Lepisosteus oculatus: one gene and its partner. The protein of the gene in region 2 purifies or fractionates together with the protein of the main gene of each other region. This does not show direct contact. Links are inferred from orthologs where the notes say so. Each region holds a gene or a part of one and is shown on either strand. Other genes may lie near its edges.

Region 1 (10,830 bases), on a different chromosome or scaffold from region 2:
AATTGTCCCCGAGGGGACAGTTTAAGTTGTGTCCGGCATTTTCATACATGAGTGAAGCGCAGACCTACCTCGTTAGCTGTGTGCGTGCATGTGTGTGTCTGTGTGTGTGGGGGGTGTTTTCCCGGGGGTGTTAACACTGCGTGTGCCCTTTCCCAGAGACCCATCGGCACGCTGCTGCGGGAGTTCGAGGCCATGCAGCAGGAGCAGAAGGCGCTCAGCAACGTCACGGACAAGGCGGAGTGGTGGGAGGGGCGCCGCCTGCTGGATGGCAGGATGAAGGTGAGAGGGGGAGCGGGTCAGCCTTCATATCTTTCCATCGATCTGGTCCCCCAGATTTCTTTTTTTTTTGTGGTTTTCTTCTGATGGTTTGGTTTTGATTGCTGTCCCCCCGCCCTCTCTTCCCTGTCTCTCATCTCTAACTCCAGGCGCTGTTAGAAAGTATGGAGGAGCAGGTGCTGAGCTGCTGGAGGGGCCTGCTGCTGCCCCATTGTCAGGACCCCGAGGTGGCCAAGCAGGCTGCCTGTCTGCATCAAGCGCTCTCTGAGTGTGGAGCCCAGAGCAGCGAAGACTTGCTGAAGGTCAGGGGTCAATGAGCATCCACTTTTTCCACAGTCTAGTTCATATTCCCAAGAGCTTGGTGTCTTCCGGTTCCAGTACAGCACTACTGTTACTTAATCGAGCCCTTGTGCTTTTATGATCTAATCCTTGACAACTTTTCCATGCATTTTAGAGAATTATTGAAGATTAGAAATTAGAAAAATGTTTGCATGGAGAAACGTTCAGGGTTTGTTTTTTGTTCTGGAGAGCTCAGCTCTGTCTGATACCCCTGGTCCAAGTCCATCACCAGCTTTGCTAGATCTCTGAATCGAATGCTGAGTGCTCTGGTTACTCCCTGCTTTCCCCTTGTGCTGCAGGCTGTGCTGACCGCCGCTCCTCTCCTCTCCCCCTCGGACCTGCGCTTGCTGGCTGGGGGGTTGTGTCCGACGCAGCCCGATGAAGCACAGCACCTCCTGCAGTCTGCCGTCACTGTGCTGAAAGACCGACAGGAGAGCCAGCCAAAGGGACATGTCGTCCTTATCCTGGACAAGGTACTGGCACCCTGGGAATACTGCTATAGATTGGAAGAGTTCTGGATCTTGTACCGAAAGCCTTTTGTCTGCAGAGGTCTGTGACCACACACCTGTTTCTCTTTCTGATCTTGTTTTGACTTCTGTTCTTGTTGTATAAACCCCAGTGTTGGGGACTCAAGCTGCTGATCACTCCATTGCATGGAGTTCTACTTTGGCATTTTGGACATGTATTGCTATAAATGTGGGGACAGAATCTAAAGATGATATACACATGCCATTGCAATGTAGACATCCCGAATAAAATGCGAGTCTGTGGGAAGACAATGTGTGCCCTCATCTTTGCTGTGTGCTGGTATGTGCAGCACCTGCAGAAGCTCCCCTGGGAGAGTGTGCCCTGTCTGAGAGCCCGCGCTGTCACCCGGCTGCCCTCTCTGCACTTCCTGCTGGGACACTGCGCCCTGAGAGAGGTGAGTGTTCCACACACACACACGCCTTGAGAGAGGTGAGCGATCCGCACGCACACACACGCCCAGCATCCTGAGAGAGGTGAGCGACACACACACACACACACACACACACACACACACACACACACACACACACACACACACACCCTTGGAGAGGTGAGGGCCTCTCTGGCAAAATCATTCAGAAGGAAAAACTTCCAAAGGGCCAGAATGAGTTACATCATTTCTTTTTTATGAAATATGGTCATAAAGAAGCAAGCATGTTGCCACTGCTCTGTCAGAGAAAACCCTTGTACTTTAAGTGGGAAGGATAATGAACAAGAAGCCCATGAGATTCTTGCAGGTCAAGTTCTTTTTCATTACAGACCAAAGCAGTTTGTCAAATTGTGTATTTTGCTGTAGTTTAGTCTTTAAAATACTTGTGTGTCTCTCGCAGATAAAAGTAAGTGCCTGTGGAATATAAACTGCTGATGAAAGAATGATCGTCTTTCTACACTAGGAATGTTGGCTTTGCGTTATCCAAATGTCTTGTGCAGTACTATTAATCAGTGTTGGATTTGCAGAGACTGATACGAGAACTTCTGGGTGCTGCATCTTTGGAGTGTTTTTTCTGCACTCACTAGCTCGCAGAGTCAGGGGAACTTTGCAGGTGGTGGCACTAGGCTTTTTTTAGCGGCCTGCTGTAGCGGCCCACACTCACTGCTTCTCTCTCCCTGCCCAGCTGGACCCACGCTCGGTTCTGAACCAGGGTGTGGACCCACGGCGCACGTTCTACGTGTTGAACCCACAGGCCAACCTGCTGGGCACCGAGGAGCGCTTCCGGGACTGGTTCACCAGGTGAGAGCCTGCCGCAGGCGCGCACACCCGCGGGCTCCAGCGCCAGCAGGCTCTGCCCATGTGACCCTGTTGGCGTGCGACCTGTTATGAATGCACAGGTCCCACTTGAGCAATTTTAGTGGCCTGCTCAATGGAGCAGGCCCATACTATACTGTGGGAAGGCCTATTAGGGCTTAATGTGTGCAGTTTTCTAGCATTTATTTAGGCTGACATTTTTCTAAAATGACTTGGAGCTGGGAGGGTGGCACAGTGTAGCTGTGGTTAGGATTGCTGCTCCATTACATTCCGGACTCCTTGTGCTATCTTCATGGAGTTTGCATGTCCCTCCCCCTGTTTGTGTGGGTTTGCTCCAGGTGCTCCAGTTTCCTCTCAGTCCAGAGACATCCTGGGAGGTTAATTGGCTTCTGGGAAAATTGGCCCGGGTGCGAGTGTGTCTGTATGCCCTGCGATGGACTGGGGTCCTGTTCAGGGTGTACTCTGCCTTGCGCCCACTGCTTTGTGGAATATGCTCTGGCTTCCCTGCGATCCTCAGTTGAAGGCAGTGGTTAGAAAATGGATGGCTGGACTTGGAGCTGGACTCCTCAGGGCGTCTTACTGGAGCAACATGTGATTCAGCTCCCTTAAAAGTATGACTGCACGACATCAGCATTCGAACCCGCCACCTTCCAGCTAAGATTAGAGCCCTGACCACTGGGCTGGATCCGATCTGTGACAGCAAGTGTAAAAACAAAAACAGCTTGTGCAAAGACAAGAAAAGGGAGATGGTGCACAGAATTGTTTAATTAGCTCTCGTTTTTTCTCACCTTGCTTTTCTCTTCTCTCCACCGGTGTGCCTCTTGCCCCGTCCCCCCTCCTGACTGGTGGCCTGGACCTTCTCTGCAGTGAGGAGGGCTGGCAGGGTGTGTGTGGCCGAGCCCCGACCCCCGAGCAGGTGCAAGAGGCCCTCTCCACCCAGGACCTCTATGTGTGAGTATCACTGGTGTGGCAGTCTGCACCCTTCTGCATTTCTGTGTGTGCTAGCAGCCAGTTCCCGAGTCTCCGTCTGTCTCTGCCTCCCCATTCTCTCTCTCTCTGTGGTGCTCTGGTATCTTCATGGAGTTTGCATGTCCTGCCCATGTTTGTATGAGTTTCCTCCATGTGCTCCAGTTTCCTCTCTCAGTCCAAAGACATGCTGGTTCTGCCGGGGCCAGTTTTCCCAGATGCCACCGAACCGGTGGCATCTGGGAAAACTGGCCCCGGTGTGAGTGTCAGGGCAGTGTACCTGCTGATCTCAGTGGCCTGGAGTTCTGTAGGTTTTAGTCCTACGTCTCAGTTAGCAGCTGAGTAAGATTTTAAGAAACAGGTTGTTTGAACCATCCAAATGATCTCTGATAGCTTAGTGGAGGCAGCAGTTCCTGCTCCACTGGGTGTGCTTCTGTGGGCTCTTTCTAACCACCTGCCTCTCCTCCGCAGTTACGCGGGACATGGGGCCGGGGCACGGTTCCTGGACGGCTCGGCGGTCCTGCGGCAGGATTTCCACGCTGTGTCCCTCCTCTTCGGCTGCAGCAGTGCTGCGCTGGCGGTCCGAGGCGAACTGGAAGGCACAGGCATCGTTCTCAACTACCTCATGGCTGGCTGGTGAGAGAGCACCGTGCTTCCGTGCTGCTGCTGTACTTAAATACTAGCAGTGGCCTGCTATTGTTGTGAACACATGGGCACGTGGGACTTGATTTCTATTCATGTCATGTCAAGAGTGGGGCAACTTAAGGGGGGCACGGCAACGCAGTGGTCAGTATCGCTGGGTCACTGAGCTCGGGCCTTGTGTTCAATTATGGACCTGGGCTGCTATCTGTGTAGAGTTGCTGTGCTACCTGTGTTTGCATGGGTTCCTCCAGGTGCTCCGGTTTACTCCCACATTCAAAGACATGCTGGTAGGTTAACTGGCTCCTGGGAAATGTGTCCTTGGTATGTGTGCGTATCCTGTGATGGACTAGTGTCCCATCCAGGGTTTATCCTGCTGTGCACCTGTTGCTTGGATTGGATTAGGCTGTTAAAAAATGGATGAATCGTATGTTAAGGAGTGGTGCTGGTTAACAGGTGGCAGCCCCTGGCATTTTTCAGCAAGATGCCACATTGGCCCATGGTAACCTTGTGTGTTTGTGATGCTGTTATAGCTTATAAGTTTGTATACCTGCTATTGCAGCATGTTGATATGGAAAGGTACCGCCACCTGTCATTTCACAGCACCTTGCTCTCAGCATTGCTCTTCTAGTCTGTCGCTGTCCAGTGGAATCTTCCCTGGTAACTTGCATCCATCAGTATCTGTACATCTCCATCCCCATCATTTAAATGTTAGTTATGAGCAATTCTTGCCATCTCTCCCAGCCCGCTGGTCCTTGGCAACCTGTGGGATGTGACGGACCGGGACATCGACCGCTTCATGAAGACCCTCCTGCAGCTGTGGCTGGGGGCCGGTCGCGGGGCGCCCCTCCTGGATCACATGACCGCATCCCGCCAGGCGCCGCGGCTGAAACACCTCATCGGCGCTGCCCCGGTGGTGTACGGTCTCCCCGTGTCTCTGCGCTGACTGCCTTTCTTGTAACTCCCCACATTCCAGCATTGTGCATCCGCTTGATCTCTCCAGGTTTTATCTGGAGCTGGGGGTGGGGTCCTTGAGTGCAATAACCGCAGCTGCATTTTGAAATTTATTATCTCCACGTCTGTCTAAGCATGTTCTGAAAATGGGTTGGAAACTGCCATTAATTATTCATTTGCTTTTATGAGATAATATAGCTTGTTAAACTTGCAGCGGAACTAATTGGCTGTGCAGTGGGATTTATATTTGTTTCCCTGTATTTAGAAATGCCAGACTATGCAGGAGCTGGGATAAACTCCCAGGGTTTTACAACGGTCTCCAAGTGAAGGAAAGTGTTGTCGACAAGACAAAGTTATGGATCTCTCACTATCCTGAGACTGTTCATGCAAACCCATTGGCCTTTATTCAAGCAAGCCAAAAAGAGCCAAATCCAGTGCATTTATTTATATTTACAAGTGTGTGCTCGGATATCCCCTGACATTTAGGCCAGTATATGTTTATGGTTTTTGCTTTTATTTTTTAACTACCATTTTGTGTATATGTATTTTAAGGTTGTGAACAATGTATGCATTCCTTTTTAAAGTATGTAATAAAGAAAATATTTGCAATGGTTTGGTCTCCTTTTGAAAAAGTTCTGTTAAGTGTATAGTTTTACTAAACTGCCATACAGAAGTTTAAACTGGTCTCCATCTTTATGCCTTGGTTGGCCCCACCCCTGTCCTATAGTGCTGTTATCCTGGAGGTCTAACAGGTCACTCTTAAATCAATGCAGGAGCATGTGTATTTTTTTATTTTTACAGTTGCAGTCTGTTGATTTTCTTTTAACTGATCTCTATTAGGGCAGTGTGGTGGTGGGGTTTTTAGCAGTGTTGCCTCACAGCGCTGGGGCCCCGAGTTCAATTCCTGGGGAGCAGTCTGTGTGGAGTTTGCATGGTCTCCCCAGGTTCACACAGGTTTCCTCCCAGAGTCCAAAGACATGCTGGCAGGTGAATTGGCTTCTGGGAAAACTGACCCTGGTGTGAGTGCATGTGACTACCCTGCAGTGGACTGGAGTCCCAACCAGGGTGTGTCCCACCATGCACCTGTGCCTTGCCAGGATAGGCTCTGGCTCCCCTGTGACTGTGAATTGGATGAAGTGATTAGAAAATTGATGGTTTTACTATCTCCAGCTTTATTTGTGACCTAAATCAACACTGATGTTTGTGGAAGCCTTATCTCAATGCCTTATACAGGATAATTGCAATGAGCCAACTTCACATGCTGGCAGCACTTGCAGAAAAATAGAAAATTGTAGTCAGGTTTGTCCACATTGTTCTGGGACCAAACTGACAAGCTCCTTTACACAAAGGGCTATGGAAATGTGGGACAAGCTACGCATTCATGTCGTTGCAACTGAAACCTTGGCTTTTTTTTTCAAGAAACAACTGGATGAGATGCGCAAATCGCTAGCATGCAAACCGGCTCCGCCGAATGAACTGGCCTCTAGTTTGTAGCCTTCCTGAGGTTTCACATTTATTACCGAGACGAGACAGACAAAGCGCACCGCCTGTTACTAAGCAACATCAAGTTCCTGTCTCTGCCGGAAGTCGGCGCGGCCGCTGGGATTGCTTTTGCTTCTAATATGGCGGTGAATCTTGCAGAGCTGACATTACCTCAGCTGGAGGGTCTGAAGGGCCAGTTGGAGCAGGTGAGGACCGATTTAGGCTAGATTTAGAGTGGGAGATGAAGAGACATCTCACGTTTGAACAGTACCCTCCAAAATGCGCAAGACGAATTAAAGGCGTAGCCAGCCCGTGAGCTAATCTGGGTTATAGACAGCACGGGGCTGGCGTGCTCTCTTAGCTGGGTGTGTTGAGCGTGTGTTTAATAGAAAATAAATGAGTACTACCACCGTGAAGCTTTCGCTTTACAAACAGCAGCAGACTTTAAAATTATTTTCTTTCATAACATATCCGGAATAACGTAATTAAATAAGTGATCGTTCTCTATAAATACCCTCACATTGAAAACCGGTAGAGTGGCGTGGCTGTTTCCAAATCTTTTCTTTTAAATCGTATTAAGAGGTGTGCAATTCGCGGACGATTCGTTCTGATTCGTTTATTTGATTCACGAAGTCATTCAATTTAGAGAGACAAATCGAGCATCGAGCCAACTAAGGAAATGATGTCTCTCGGATTTTAGTGAGTATGGGAGGAACATCGAAACTCGGGTGAACATAAAGCAACAGTGAACATAAAGCAATAGCACATTGTGAAACATAAAATTACCCTCTTATTAATGAAGTGTATGAGGTTTGTGATAGTGCGCGAAGAATATACTTTGCTGCATATTTCAGATGGTTACATTAATTCGATTTTTTAAAAAAATTCAGCCTATAATAATAACATTAGATGTACATACTAGGAGATACATAATTATACCAGTTTTATTTATTTTTTTGTTAATGTATATTTTAAAGTAATCCGAAATCAACAGTGACTCAAATAAGACTTTCAATTCAATTTTGGCTTAAAAATGTGATTATTAGATGAATTGCCCCTACCAGTATGTCTTTTCTTTAATGCAAGACAAAGTACACTGTTTGAATTGCTGGATACAGTGTCACATAAGTTTTCCATTTGTCTTTTCAACATCCTTCCTTCCCACTCAAGGATCATTGAAGCAGCCAATATTGACTGTTGTAGAATTTTTTTTTTGAAAATTGGGAGTTTTATGGAATATTTCAAATAGCCTTATTTGGGAGGTGGGTAAGCCATCCTTTTGCGGAACAGTTCAGGTCCAGACATAGAGCTCAGAGAACAAAAAACTTGAAATTGCATGCTGGGTGCAAAACGGTAAGCATTAAGTGGTTATAAGCTTATCAATGGAGCTGTAGATGGTTGATAGGAAGTTTTAAAATATCTAAATGATTAAATCGTATTTGTTGGTAATTCGGTCTTTTCTGAGAATTGTAAAGTGAAAAGGCAGCCCTTCAAAACAATCTAAAGTAAAACTCCCAGGACCACACGTTCTTCCTTGCTGAGCCCTCTCTTGTATTGTCCACTCAGAGTAAGTGCACTCAGAGGTCTCGCAGGTGATTTGAGCACTGATGAGTCTGACTTTCAGAAAGGTACTGTTTGTCTTATACTTGTGTGATTGGGGCAGAGCGGTGGCTCTGCGGCTAAGGATCTGTGCCTGTGGCTGGAAGGTTGCCGGTTCAAATCCCGCGGCTGGCAGAGGAATCCTACTCCGTTGGGCCCCTGAGAAAGGCCCTTAACCCCAGGTGCTCCAGGGGTGCTGTATAAATGGCTGGCCCTGTGCTCTGACCCCAAGCTTCTCTCCCTGTCTGTGTGTCTCACAGAGAGAAAGCTTGGATAAGCAAAAAGACCAATTCCCAATACAAGAAATTGTATATGGCTAATAAAGTGATCTTATCTTATCTGAATACTACCTTTTTGAGGTGTCTACCAGACATTATTTCTCTCTTGTTCTTTGATGGGCTTTTCGGTCTGAGGTGAAAGGTTCCACTTTTGTGTAGCTTCTGTTTTTGGAGAATTTTTGTCTTTGTGTTTTTTTTTACAAGACGGTTCTACAGCGCTCGGATGCGATCTCTTGAGCCTTTTTTTTTTCCATTTGAACTGCACTGACGACTGGCTCTTGGTGATGTTTGCGACTCATGTTGTCTTGCTGTTTCATGCCGCAGAGCTCGCTGGATCGTTCTGAAACCTGCCGTGCTGGGTAACGGTTTTGTGGTCGTTTCGGACGATGAGCACGACGGCCGCGACCCGCAAGCGAAGCTCCATTTGGAGCCATTTCACTTCGGTCACGTGCAGCACGGCCAAGTGCGACATATGTCACAGCGAGCTGTCTTACAAAGGAGGGTCAACTACAAACCTGCTCCGCCACCTCAAAACAAAGCACCCCCTGGTGCAGCCGGGCGCAAACAGATCCCAGCTGAGGGAGGAAGCTGGAGCTTCGGCGCTTGCAGGGAGCAGCACCCGGAGCAGGGAAGACGAGCATCGGGCTTTGGTCCCCACCAGGAGCAGTGCAAGCCTGGAGCAAAGCAGCGCCAGCAGCTCTGCCGTGTCGCCCGCGAGGCAGGACCGTCTGAACGAAGCCCTTGCGAAAATGATAGTGATGGATTATCAGCCATTTTCAGTTGTCCAAGACAAGGGCTTCAGAGCTTTTATTAATCAGCTCAATCCCTCTTACGTGCTGCCAAACAGAAAAGCTCTGACCAGGACGATCATTCCCCAGCTGTATGAAAGAACCCTTTCTGAAGTGCAGGAGAAGGTAAAGGGAGCATCAGCTGTGTGTTTAACCACAGACTGCTGGACATCGGTTACACACAATGGGCACAGCTACCTTTCAGTCACCAGCCATTTCATAAACCCCGACTTCCAGATGTCTTCATGCCTTCTTGACTGCTTTGGATTCGCCGACGGGCACACAGCTGCCAACCTGAAAGATGAGCTCCTTCGGATTGCTGCGGACTGGAATATACAAGACAAGGTTGTGGCAGTTGTCAGTGATGATGATGCTGCTAATATGACCGAAGCGATAAGGCTCACTGGGTGGAATCACTTGCCTTGCTTTGCCCACACCATAGATCTTGTGGTGAGAGAAGCACTGCAAGAAATCAGACCCACTGTAGATAAGGTTAAAGTAATAGTGGAATATGTACGCAGAAGTCCTGCAGCAGCTGAAAAACTTAGGTCTCTACAGAAGCAACTGGGCATGGAGGAGCTGAAACTGAAGCAGGAGGTTGCCAGACGATGGAATTCCACTTACCGCATGCTGACTAGGTTTCACAGGGCCAGAGATGCCGTTGTTTCGATGCTGGCACTGGTCGACGCCGCCCTGCCCACTCTGACTCCGGAAGAATGGGACACCGTGGCCGAGTCGTGCGGGATTCTGAAACCTTTCGACGAAGCGGTGGCTGAAATCAGTGCGGAAAAGACGGTGTCGGCTTCGAAAGTCATCATCTTGGCCAGGGGCCTGCAGAGGATTGCCGCCACGCGGCCGAGGAACGCGGGTCTTCCCGGCCCGGTGGCGCGGATGCTCAACGCCCTCCAGGCGGCGATGTCCCGCAGGTTCGACGACATCGAGCGGCAGCCGCAGCTGGCCGAGGCGTCCCTGCTGGACCCCCGGTTTAAAAGGCGGGCGTTCACAGACGAGCGAGCGGCGGAGGAGGCCGTGAGCAGCGTCGCGGCGGCCGCGGGGAAGGTGCACGTCGCCGCCGCCGCCGCGGCTGCCCCCGCCGCTGTGGAGGCGCCAGGAGAGAGCGACCGCGAGGCGCCGGCCGCCACGCGTTCGGCGCTGTTCTGGCGCGATTTCGACGACTGCGTGTCGCACCTCCTTTCGGCACAGACCCCGTCATCGGAGGCCGCGCTGGAGGTCAAGAGCTTTCTGGAGGAGCCTCTGCTTGCCCGGACGGCAGAGCCTTTGCAGTGGTGGGCCAGCCGCCGGCCGGTGTATCAGAGGCTCTCCCGGGTCACGGCCGCGAAGCTGTGCGTCGTGACCGCGTGCGCGCCCTGCAGGCGCAGCTGGTCCAAGACCGGGCAGGTGGCCGCAGAGAGGAGGAATCACTTTAGCCCTTCCAAAGTGCGTGAAATCGTGTTCTTGAATGCCAACCTGGACTGAGGGTACTGCCCGTGACGTGTGACTCTGCCACTGTACAGACAGACAGGCCGTTGCAGGAGGTAACTCAAGTGGGATGTTGCTGTTTCGTTGGTTTTCCACCATCACTCCCTTGTTCTCGTCTTGCCTTGCCTTTGAGATGTTCGTAAATAAAAATCAACATTTTCTGTGACGCTGTTGTTATATTACCCAGTCTACTTCCATGAGAGGTCTGTTATAACTCAGTATAATAAAATTTTATTTTTACTTATGTTTTGATGCT
Region 2 (11,130 bases):
CAGGCTTGTGAATACTTAGTACCACAACTCTGTAGAAGTCTAGGGAGTGTACATTAAGCTTTGAAGAAACATCACTGTCAAATAGAGAACTACAAGCTGTTTTGAAGGCTTCCAAGCAAGTCCCTACTCATGCAGTGTAGAAAAAAAAAAGCCCTCATGTGTGGAAAAATATTGTGGGAGGCCTTGAAAGACAACTGTACCACAGCGTGAGTGAACTGCGAGATATGGAGAAAGTAGAATGATTTGGAATTCACTGGACAAATAGAAGGAATGAGCAGACATTGATACCAAGCAGGTGATGTCTTGTTGTGTGTGCAAACAACATCTCTGCAACATGTTCAATTTTAGTGTGATGAAATCTGCCAGGTTTCGGTTCAATTAGTGCAGTGCTTCACAAGACAATAGTAACCTGGATTTTCCAAATAAAATCGCATTTAAAGGAATTAATGCAGGAACACCATTTTGTAATATGTACAGTATATACAGTAGTATTGTTATGAAAATGTTAGCTACCAAAATTGGAGTTTATTGTCCAAACATGAAAAAAGAGTAGTTAAGAGGCAAGATTGCACCCATCATTTAGTAGTCCCTATTTATCTGGAATAAATAATCACATCAGATCAGCTTGGGAGGTGCAAATCAGAAGCAGTTTGCTTGTTCACGATATCAGCCAAGATTCAACAAAATGATGGAAATGAGGACGATCTGGTGGTGTCTCGGCCTAACAAGATCTGACCACGTCCTCAATGACGATGTCCACCGACGCATGGGAGTGGCACCGATAACGGAGAAGATGCGAGAAGGAAGACTGCGATGGTGTGGACATGTGATGAGAAGTGGGGAGCACACGGTGGCACGGACTGCGATGCGACTGAGCCCGCGAGGTCGGCCCAAGAAGGGGTGGGTGGATCGGATCACTGAAGACATGCGGGAAGTGAACGTCGCCTCGGGGCACACTATGACCGCGCCAAATGGAGACGGGCGTGCCGACAAGCGGACCCTGCCGATGTGGGATTAATGCTAGGATGAAGAAGGTGCAGCAGTTTCCAAGACGGAGGCAAACTGAGTTATTAGAAGAAAATGGCAGGTGGCCATCCTGTTTCTTGCAGAATTATGAGTGTGTCAGAATGATGCAAAATTGATTTTAACTACAATGCTACTTACTAAGATTTTGATAGATTTAGATTATTTTGTTGTGCTAGAGTGAAGATGGCTGGTTATCTTTTAACCCTAGGTCCCTACCTTGTTACCACAAAGGAGGTGCTGTCCAGGTTGTCTATAGTTCTGAATCGAATGCATAAAATGCCAGAATTCTTCCATGATTATCTTTGTCTAGGCATGGAGTTCAAACTTAGTGGCTGCTTTGTACTTGTTGCAGAATCCTTGTGGTGATACTGTTCATTGTTTACAGGAGTGAGTCTTGATTTAGAGACAGCTACTGTAAGTGAAACATATTCTAGGATGTATTGATATGTGATCATGTGTAATCAAGAACTTCACCATTAAAAATAAGGTATTCAAGAGTTTGTGTGGTAGTAAAAGCACTATACTGCAGGAAGAGGTATACTTGCATAAAGTGATCTTCCCCCTCACAGCACCCCGCAGAGTTTCCCAATAGTCTTTACTTTGGACAATTGCCTGGATAGAGGAAATATTTCATCCTGTGTCATTCACCTGAGCTGAGGCTTCAGTTCAACTCAAGAGACACGTGATGAAGGGAGCTCCAATTAAAAATCTAATCTTGCTATCTAACAAAAATTGAAAACTTGCAAACATTTGGAACCTTTCAATTTCATTTCAAAGTTTCATTTGGCTAAGGGCATGCAACAAAAGTGCAACAACATGTAATTTATATTAAATGACAACTTTCTGTCTGAGAGCTTTATACTTTCGAAGTCTGAGGGCTGTGGGTGGAGGAGTCAGGGTTAAGGTAGACTTTGGAGCACATCTGTAATTTCTGCAGTCAGAGATTCATTAAAAGAGCTGCATAAAATGTTTTTGTTATCATTATTACTTGAGTTAAAGAAGAAGAACCTTCACTTATTTTTAAGTGGTTTTAAAAGTTTTAATGTTCATATAGAGAACGATACTTATGCAAAACACCTCTTTTAAACAATACCTTAAGAAAAAGAATAGACACTGCAGAAGACATTTTATTACTATATATTTAAAAATATATATTTTCAATTAAACCTGAGTGACGCATGTGTGTTGTATCCCTTTTCTAAGAATTCTAGAAAATGATTTGCCCTCATTCATGAATTCAACAAATTTGTATCCTCTTTTATTTGCACGGTAGCAATCTAAACAGTATATTCAAGGTTAATCTATTATGTCAACATGAAGACTGATAGCCTTGTGCCAGATCAGTTCAAAATGTATTTTTTTCTCTTTTTTGGTTATTATTTAATAGATGTTCATTCAGGACATTCAAATGGCAATGAGTTCTTCAGTTCTTTTACGCCACTGGCAGCTTATGTCAATGATTATAAGATAAGACCATTATCACTCTAAGATCCAAAAGTCATGTAAAATTGATTTTCTTCTGATATGGGTTACACATTAACTCTCATGTGATTTAACTAAAATAATGATGTGCCTGGTAAAATAGATCCAGCCTGGATTTAAGGACCCACAATCTGAATTTGTTAGTATATACCTGTATATATTTAATTGCTGCCAATGTAGGCGTACTCATCAGAAAACAGGAAATAGCTGTGCAGTGTTATAGAAGATGTGGATAAGCAGTGGCAGACCAGTTTATCTGTGTATATATATGAGCACTGTAGCCAAATCTTAGTATTTATTATCATTATTACTTTACTTAACAAGATCCATCCATTCATTTTCTAACTGCTTCATGCGATTCGGGGGGGGGCAAGGGAACTGAAGCCTATCCCAGCAAGCAATGGGCACAAAGCAGGGTACTCCATGGAAGGGGTGCCAGTCTATCCCAAGGCACAGACAGACACAACCAAATACCCTACCAAACTGGAGCACCTGGAGGAAACCAACACTAATGCAGAGAGAACATAGAAACTCCATGTTGACAGCATCCCAGGAATTGAACCCCAGCACTCTGAGGCAGCAACGCCAATCACTGCATCACCTACTGATTCTACAAATTCTAATTTACATAGACAACTAACTGGCTAGGCAGGGTACACTACTGTGATGGTAAAAAGAACAATAAAAGACAGCAAAAGAAGAAAAAGATGACATTCCTTTTGCTGTCATATTGTTTATTGGGATAGTGCCTTCATCCACCTTTAAGAACATAGAGAATATATTTAAGACTTTACTTTGCCTAAACACACCCTACAATAGTTTCAGGTGTTAAAACAGGTATGAACTGCTTACTTATGGGACTACCGCTAAAACATAATTACTATGAAAATGATAGCGTCTTAATTTAAGAGATCCTTTTGCATTGTTTTGCACTACCTATTCATGCACAAATAATAGATGCATCTGAATTTGTTTTGGGCACAGACAGCATAAAGGAAAAATAACATTCTTGGGCACTGCCTAGAGAACTATATTATTCATAGGTGTGGTCCATCCAGTCCACACTTGTGAAAATGGTTTAGCTCTGGTATGACTCATGATTCCTGAGGACAAAAGCTGAAACGTGTCAGGCCAGTTCTTGCTGTGGGACAGAAAGTTTCTCACAAGGTATGTATGACTCTGGTACATCACTACATCACTAAAGCAGCAGGAAATCTGGAAAAAGTGTCAATTCAGACAGCCTCAGGGGTTGACATTACTGACATGTCAACCCAAATTATCCCATTGGGTCACATTATGGGGGGTCCACCCCTACCCACATCTCATGCAAAGCTACATAAGGCTCTGCTATGAGTTTTTTGCAGATGATGTACAGTATAAAGTAAACTTGCATCACGGCAAATACGTGGACAGACAAATATTTGAATAGAAGGTCAAATTTGTAGAAAGACCAGAAAATATGTGGAACTCCTGTTCACCGTGTACAGACAAGAGCCCCACATTAAGTCATCATTTGCAAAAGTAACATTTTACTTTTTTCAATTTAGGTCAATTTTTTAATTTGGTCAATTTAGTCATTTGTTTTCATGTTCAAGCACATGCAGTATATAGACATGATACGTTTTTACACATTTTAGTGAAGTTGGTTAACATTAGCAGTAATGTAATAATAATCAGAGATCATATTAGTAAAGACTATCTGATTATTATTAACTGATCAATTATTAATGATCAGTGAAAAGCCCTTCAAGATAACATCAGAAGTTACACTCATATCCTCACCTATCAATTGCACCACTGAATGAGGACAAGCAATTGCTTTGCCCATCATGTTCAGGAAGTACTTGAGCTCAGTGTGAACTGAGTTCAAATTCATTCAATTCCTCTTGAGCAGAATCATCCATTACATTACAACAGTTTGTGCAACCTGAGGTTTCTATGACAGCAATAGTTAGGTCTTCAGGTCAATAACACATTTAGGATCAGTAGCTGTGCCATTTAAAAAATTCCTTCAGGCACAGGTGTTTCGTTAATCATTCATTCTACATTCTCTGAAAGTTAATCATTTTTGTACATTCCTCAACTTAAACTTTAAACTAAAAAAGAAAAAAAAACTCGATATTGCTCTTAAATTTATTATAATTATAAAACCAGAAAAAATATTATATTAATCCTGCCTGTTTCAGCATTTCTTTTTGTTTCCTCTAATGTTTAAAACCCATCAAACACAGAAAGGACATTTTTTAAATTAATCAGCTGTGATAAACGGCGTTCATAAAGGCTGAAGATTCATAAACATGAAGTGTTCAGATACATAACATGCAGTGCAAGAGTTTGACTAATATATTTCATGTGAATACATATTTCTTTTAGTCTGTCAATGAAGAACATTCCTTTTCTCTTCTTTGTCTTTGAGCACATTTTGGTCACAAGGTGACAAACTGACAGTATTGTAAATGCCATCTTAATTCTGCAACTTCAAATTGTAATATCCATTGATTTAGAAGTGATGCCTTTTTGCTTACATTTTATTTGCTTTTTTCATTGTTTTCCTACATTCCTATACTGTCTGTCTCGAAGATGAAAATGCTGTCAGGATGAACTGGTAAGGTTTTCTAAGGTCGCCTGTTCAAGCTCAGCATTTCCCATTTTATAGTTAGTTTATAGTAATAGTTTTTATGTTTATGTTTTTGCTACCTGCATGAAACTCTCGGCACATATCTAAATAAGATATAATCTGTTAGCTGTTTTCGCTAGTCTTTCCTCTAAATCTTTATGAATTTAGTTCGCAGACTGCGTGCTCGTCACTTCTGTATCATATGCGTGTGCGACTAGTTTGCTAACTGTAACAGAATATAGATCATAAATATAAATCACAAAGAACAGCGGCTGTGTCCTATAAAAAACCGTATCCTATTAAACACTGTTCCATTATTGACATTTCTTATTCGCGTTAATTAGTATTGCTAGTAACGACAGCAAGAGTTAAGCATGCAACATGACGTTATAACTACCAAGTATTAGTTGGAAAAGAAATTAAGATAAAATACAAAATCCTTGACTAATATAGCATTCAATATTCGGAATGGAGGGAGAAACAATTATATGTTAAAAATCCCTTTTATGACTGTTTTAAAAAGTAATTATTCCAGTATTAAGAAGATAATTAAATGATTTTGTGACACGTCTGCCACCTGCAGGACATTAGAAGTATTACCGTAAAACTCCTTTTTATCGGCCAAACTTTTAAACTTCCATGCGTTCTTTGAGTGCGTCCCTTTAAACGGAACCTACCACTTGTTTAAATAAATTATATACATCCAGAAACCGATATGTGAGCTACACATAAAATCATTGTGCATTGTACTTAATTGTATTAATATTTTAAAGTAAAAAATGAGAACCCGCACGTCAATGAAAACGCTGTAAATCAAAACAAATACTCCAGAAGGTATAATTCTCCACGTGAATGAATAGATTCGTCCATAAAAATGGCAGCGACCATGAAGAAGTCTGTTGTAAGTAATTCTTAACAGGTTTTAGATTTTATTAATCTTTTTGTCGGTCTTGCTGGGTAGGCATGTATTATGTGTAATCTGGAAATTAAAGCTGGTAAAGCAGTTCTATTAGCGTGTGCACTAATTAAGTCCATCTTCGTTATAGACTGTTATGGGTGTGGTGGTTAATATCGGTGAGCTTTTGATCTGTTGTTGGTTTCAGACAGTAATATATAGTTATATATTGCATTCCATAAAGCTCTTTAGTAATTTATTATTAAGAATACAATCCTAAACGCCGTTAGTAAACGACAGCTGCATTTCACATAAGCAAGAGACGAAAATGGGTGGTATTAAGTAAAAATAATACGCAAACGCTTTAAATGGAATGAATGAGGTTTAAATTTCTGAAGTTGCAAGTACAATCTCTATATCGTTGGATAATTATCTTTGAAACTATTCTTATTATTAACAAAAATAATTTGAGCACGCAGTATGTGACCATTGGATTTTTGTAAATGACTACAGCTGAGGACCAGGTCTGAGAGTCAGTACCCGGGGATTTTTCAAGAAATTACCGAATGAGATACTCTGATCAGTACAGGGTAGCTACTACAAGCACCAACGAGCTAAGTGGGCCCACTTGCTTTCTTTTCTTTACATTTTTTCATATCTTTATAGGCAGTAGAAGACGTGAACGTCACCTTTGAAGACCAACAGAAGATTAACAAATTTGCTAGAAACACAAACCGGATGACTGAACTCAAAGAAGAAATAGAAGCAAAGAAGGTATATTTATAATTGGCAAGTGCACATTAGCGCATTTAATTGAAGGCTATTAAAACTATCTGAGCTTGGAAGAAAACTATTCTAAAATACCAGTAGCAATCACAAACAACAACAACAACAAAAAAAGGTTTGCCTTGTTGTTGGGCAGATCTCCTCAGTTATGTATTCCATGATGACGTTTGCCTCTCTTCTTCAGAAATCTCTTCAGAACTTGGAGGACGCCAGTGATGACATCATGATGTTTGATGATGACACCTTACTAATTCCGTATCAGATTGGTGATGTCTTCATTAGCCACACCCAGGAGGAAACACAGGATATGTTAGATACTGGGAAGGTAGGCCTAGCTTTGTGAAGTTCATTCTAATCCATGGTTAGTAAACAGCTGTAAGAGTCTTACTGCTCTAGGGTCCTGGGTTGGTTTCTGGACTGAGGTGAATTCTCTGTTCTTGCTCTGTTTGATGGATGGATGGATGGAGTAAAAAGCAAACTGTTGTCTCATATAATTTTACAGATTCCATAAGTTACATTACTGAAAGCACATTTTATTGCTTATCTTCTGCAGAGGGTGTGTTTTGTAGAGCAGCGTGGCGGTTTTTATCTTTCCTGTAACAGTCTTCTTTCTGAAGAGCTCAATAACACTGATCGCTTTGTTCCTTTTTAACGAGTTCTCACTTCTGAGTAAGTCTTACCCTGTGATCAGTTAACAGTCAGCTGGAAAAAGCTGTCGTAATGCTCATCAATATAGTATGTTTGATCTGCTCTCTTAAAACATGACCCTTCAGAATCAGTTCTCAACTTTATTTGTACTGAAATGCTATGAAAAGAAACCTAAAACAGCTGTAGACTCACCTAATTATCTTAATAGATGCAAAAAAATGGAATGTGAAAATTTGAATTGTTTCACAGCAGTAAATGAAGTTATTAAGGAAAAATAACACATAATTTTTAATTTAACATATAGTAAATAAACACAAAGGTGATATTTTCAGAGTTTCCTGCAAGGAATGTGTGAGATTTTCTGCTGAAATCTTGCAGGTGCATACTATTTGCATTGATGGTTTCTTTTAATTTTTGTACAAAAACACATTGGTTAATTAATGAAGTTGTGAGTCTCTATAGCAGTTTCTAAATTTTATGTTACTTTGTTTTTTTTAATCAACTTTGACTTGATGTAAATACTTGAGGTCTGAGAATTGTGAGATTCTGTACCATTGCAGCTACTGGCAGATAAATGATCTTGCGGTGTATCATTATGAAACAGTATCTCAGTATGGATTCTTGTGTATATTATGTCTGCATTTTTTGGCCAGACGGTCCGTCTGGTCTGTATACAATAATAGAGAATAGTATTACTCCAGAAATTATGTCGAGCCAAGATCCCAGATTCCTCTTTGCTTATTTAACCATGTTTCAGTGTACAGTTTCAAGCTTACTTGTAACTTTTATGTGACTATGAAATATACCTTATCAGAAGTTTTCAGCTGTCCATTGATATTTTGTACCATCAATTGACACCCTATTCATATCAATTTCTACCTCCTATACTTAAGCTGTTGAAGCTTTCCAAGTTTGGGGATAGCTGAACTGACATCAAGATTGTTAAAATTAATGCATATTCATACTGGTATGAATGATCATTTACTTTAATAGAAGAAAACTATTTAGTAGTGTGGTTTCCTACACTTACTTTAACAGAATAAGAAACCATAAAATATAAATTATTTTCCTTTGCCACTCTCAAAATATAAGTTTGAAAATTAAACTCTGATGTACTCTAACCTGAGGAAAGCTGGAAATGTGAAAGTAGTTTTCCCACAAACAACTCCGACAAGACAACTCTGACTTAGAAATAAATGTAGATTACTTTTGTATATTGTATAAATTACCTATTGTTGTTATATACTGTTGTACCTGTGAGGAACTCTGTGTGTGTTGGCTGTGAAGGACCAGGTTAATTTCACGATGGAAAAACTAGAAAAGAGAAACCAAACATTTTGGCTGAAGAGTCAGGTATTTGTAGATACTTTATATACTTTGTACTGTGTACTATATACTATAAAGTATATACAGTATTTTTGTATGTTGATTCAGTATGAAGTGCAAAATTAAGGATTATTTATTTCCACAAAGAAAATCAAGTATTTTCTGTAAAGGGTGTGTTTTCTTGCTCCACAAGTCTTTAACTGGAATGGTAGATGGGCTCTGCTTGTTTACTTAGTAACAATGGTGTTCATATTTTCATCCTTAGGAACTGCTTAAAGAAGAAATCAAAGCATTGGAGGGCCGGGTAGCATCAATTCAGCAAATACTGTCTGATCTCAAAGTTCAACTCTACGCCAAGTTTGGAAATAACATAAACCTGGAAGCTGACGACAGCTGAAGCCCCTGTTCTGTGCTTGAGAGAGATGAACTTTTCATGCAGATAACACATCAAAATCCCCAGAATTCCTATGACACAGAGAGTTTATAGAACTTTTTTTTAATGGTCCTCTTCAAAATGCATACGTAGATGTTTTCTTTTTTCTAGAAAATAACATTTGCTTATTTATTGTTTTTGCATGAAAACAGGAGAAATCACAGAGTGGTAGAGCTTACAGCATTCGTTGACAGTGTATTTGTTTGCAAAACACACAATCTCAATAAAAGCCAATGTATAGTGATGTGTTTTTTGGATTTTAGCATATTTTCACTGTCTCTGCTTTCATCGTGGCCATCAAATAGAATAATAAAAGCCCAGGTTCAAAGAAAGTTTACCATAAAAGACCAGTTAAATTCCATAAAGTCCGTAATCTTAGTAGAAAAACCCTTTGTAGCGTTTTCAGTAGCTGAGAATCTGAATTGAAACTACAAAGGAACTGTATTTCATTCAAATTATGATGATTATGGTGTTTTCAAAAACTTGGTAAAATACTAAATAAAGTAACATTAACATTAAATTCAAAGAAAAAAGAATTGCAGGATGAACTATTGGAGAGACAAGCCTTACATGTATTTTGTTGGAAAATTTTACACAGAGGTAAAAAGGGTAATGTGAGAAGGCAGGAAAGGTATAAACAATGACGGTCTAAGGTAAATTGTAATGTTTTTCTAAGGGCTATATTTACAATCTTATTCTATGAATACATTTTTGTGAGACAACATTTCTGAGAGAGCAGTAACAAAAGTGTGAATTTTTCAGCGTTGGGCGAATGGTACTGTAAATGTAATTGAGGTTTTGTGAGTCATTAATCTTAATGGATTTAGCTCTTTCGTATGTTTAACATGCCTGCACATAAAACCCACAAGTAAAATAACAAATGGATTGAAAACCCATGTAAAACCAGCCCCCCTTTGACAAGGATAATTCCAGCAGCTGTGCAATATACTTGGTGAACCATGGTAATACAAATATTTGTATACACTTTCCTTTGTTTAACAGTCATAGATGCATCAATGCTTCATGTAGGAGATTTAAGGCAAAAGTTTCAGTGTTGCCTTCAAAGTGGATTTGTCTTCTTTTTTCAGAAGAAGTAGACCTGTTGGGTCAGACCCATAGGGAAAGTGACCTTGTGTTCTAATTAGCTGCAAAGTGGTGATCACTTTTCTCCTACATTTTGATAGTCCTTCTAGCTGAGTATGTGTAATTTCTGGATGTGGCAGCAACTGACAAAAGTCCCGTATTGCAAAATGTACCAAATGGATCAACTGGTTTGTAACCTTTCTGTCAACAGTACTGTCACTGGCATAGCAAACTCTTGATGCAATAACGGCAGTAATTTCCATAAACATTTAAAATTTAAGTATAATCCCATGCTTCAGTTTAAACAGGAAATCATTTAGTAACGTATATTAATGGGTACACTGCATAAAATATACAAATGAGGGGAAGGTAGCCATTTCAACATTTCTTTGACAACAAGGCTGGGCAACGTCTGCAATACTTTGTGCACAAAAGGGCCCCTGTTCTCGGTTTTAAACGCACTTTCCCATATTTTCTTTTTATCCTCTGGTTTGTGTTTCAGTACCGGTTCTGTGGTTCTTCTGGGTTGATGCTGTCAGGGACTGTGAATGAGGGCCACTCATAATTTTCTCTGGTCAAGACTAAAAACGATTCAGTTTAGAATATTCCTTTGAGCCCAGGAATGTACCTGGACTAATTGAAGACCCAGTTTAGCCAAGACCATTGCCACTGACAGCCGTATGATATTGCTGAATGATATTCATCATTTAATAGTGATAGATTGCTATTTAGTTTTTAAGGTTGGAGAAAGGGCTCTCTATGCTCTTAGACCTTTTCTTAGCTGGACACTGTATTGTTTATTTTGCTAATCTTTCAGTAAAACAGAGTTTCATT

Evidence for each region. Proteins that work in one complex are often made in the same cells at the same time.
Region 1: the proteins of pfdn4 (region 2) and pfdn5 purify together in Homo sapiens (affinity purification with mass spectrometry; 5 studies listed by BioGRID and IntAct, counting the BioPlex papers as one, with this or other methods). This does not show direct contact. The link is inferred for Lepisosteus oculatus from reciprocal best matches to the Homo sapiens genes PFDN4 and PFDN5.

Annotation. Positions count from the first base shown.
Region 1 is NC_090696.1:20,601,171-20,612,000, reverse strand, and holds the start of pfdn5 (prefoldin subunit 5), read left to right. Parts: upstream 1-6,525; 5' UTR 6,526-6,570; coding exon 6,571-6,636; intron 6,637-10,830. Other genes in the region: espl1 (separin), read left to right, coding at 157-279, 426-578, 915-1,088, 1,433-1,537, 2,259-2,374, 3,257-3,340, 3,827-3,991, 4,739-4,940. UniProt on the Homo sapiens protein: Binds specifically to cytosolic chaperonin (c-CPN) and transfers target proteins to it. Binds to nascent polypeptide chain and promotes folding in an environment in which there are many competing pathways for nonnative proteins.
Region 2 is NC_090711.1:11,175,772-11,186,901, reverse strand, and holds pfdn4 (prefoldin subunit 4), read left to right. Parts: upstream 1-5,922; 5' UTR 5,923-5,999; coding exon 6,000-6,026; intron 6,027-6,686; coding exon 6,687-6,794; intron 6,795-6,990; coding exon 6,991-7,131; intron 7,132-9,045; coding exon 9,046-9,177; 3' UTR 9,178-9,457; downstream 9,458-11,130. UniProt on the Homo sapiens protein: Binds specifically to cytosolic chaperonin (c-CPN) and transfers target proteins to it. Binds to nascent polypeptide chain and promotes folding in an environment in which there are many competing pathways for nonnative proteins.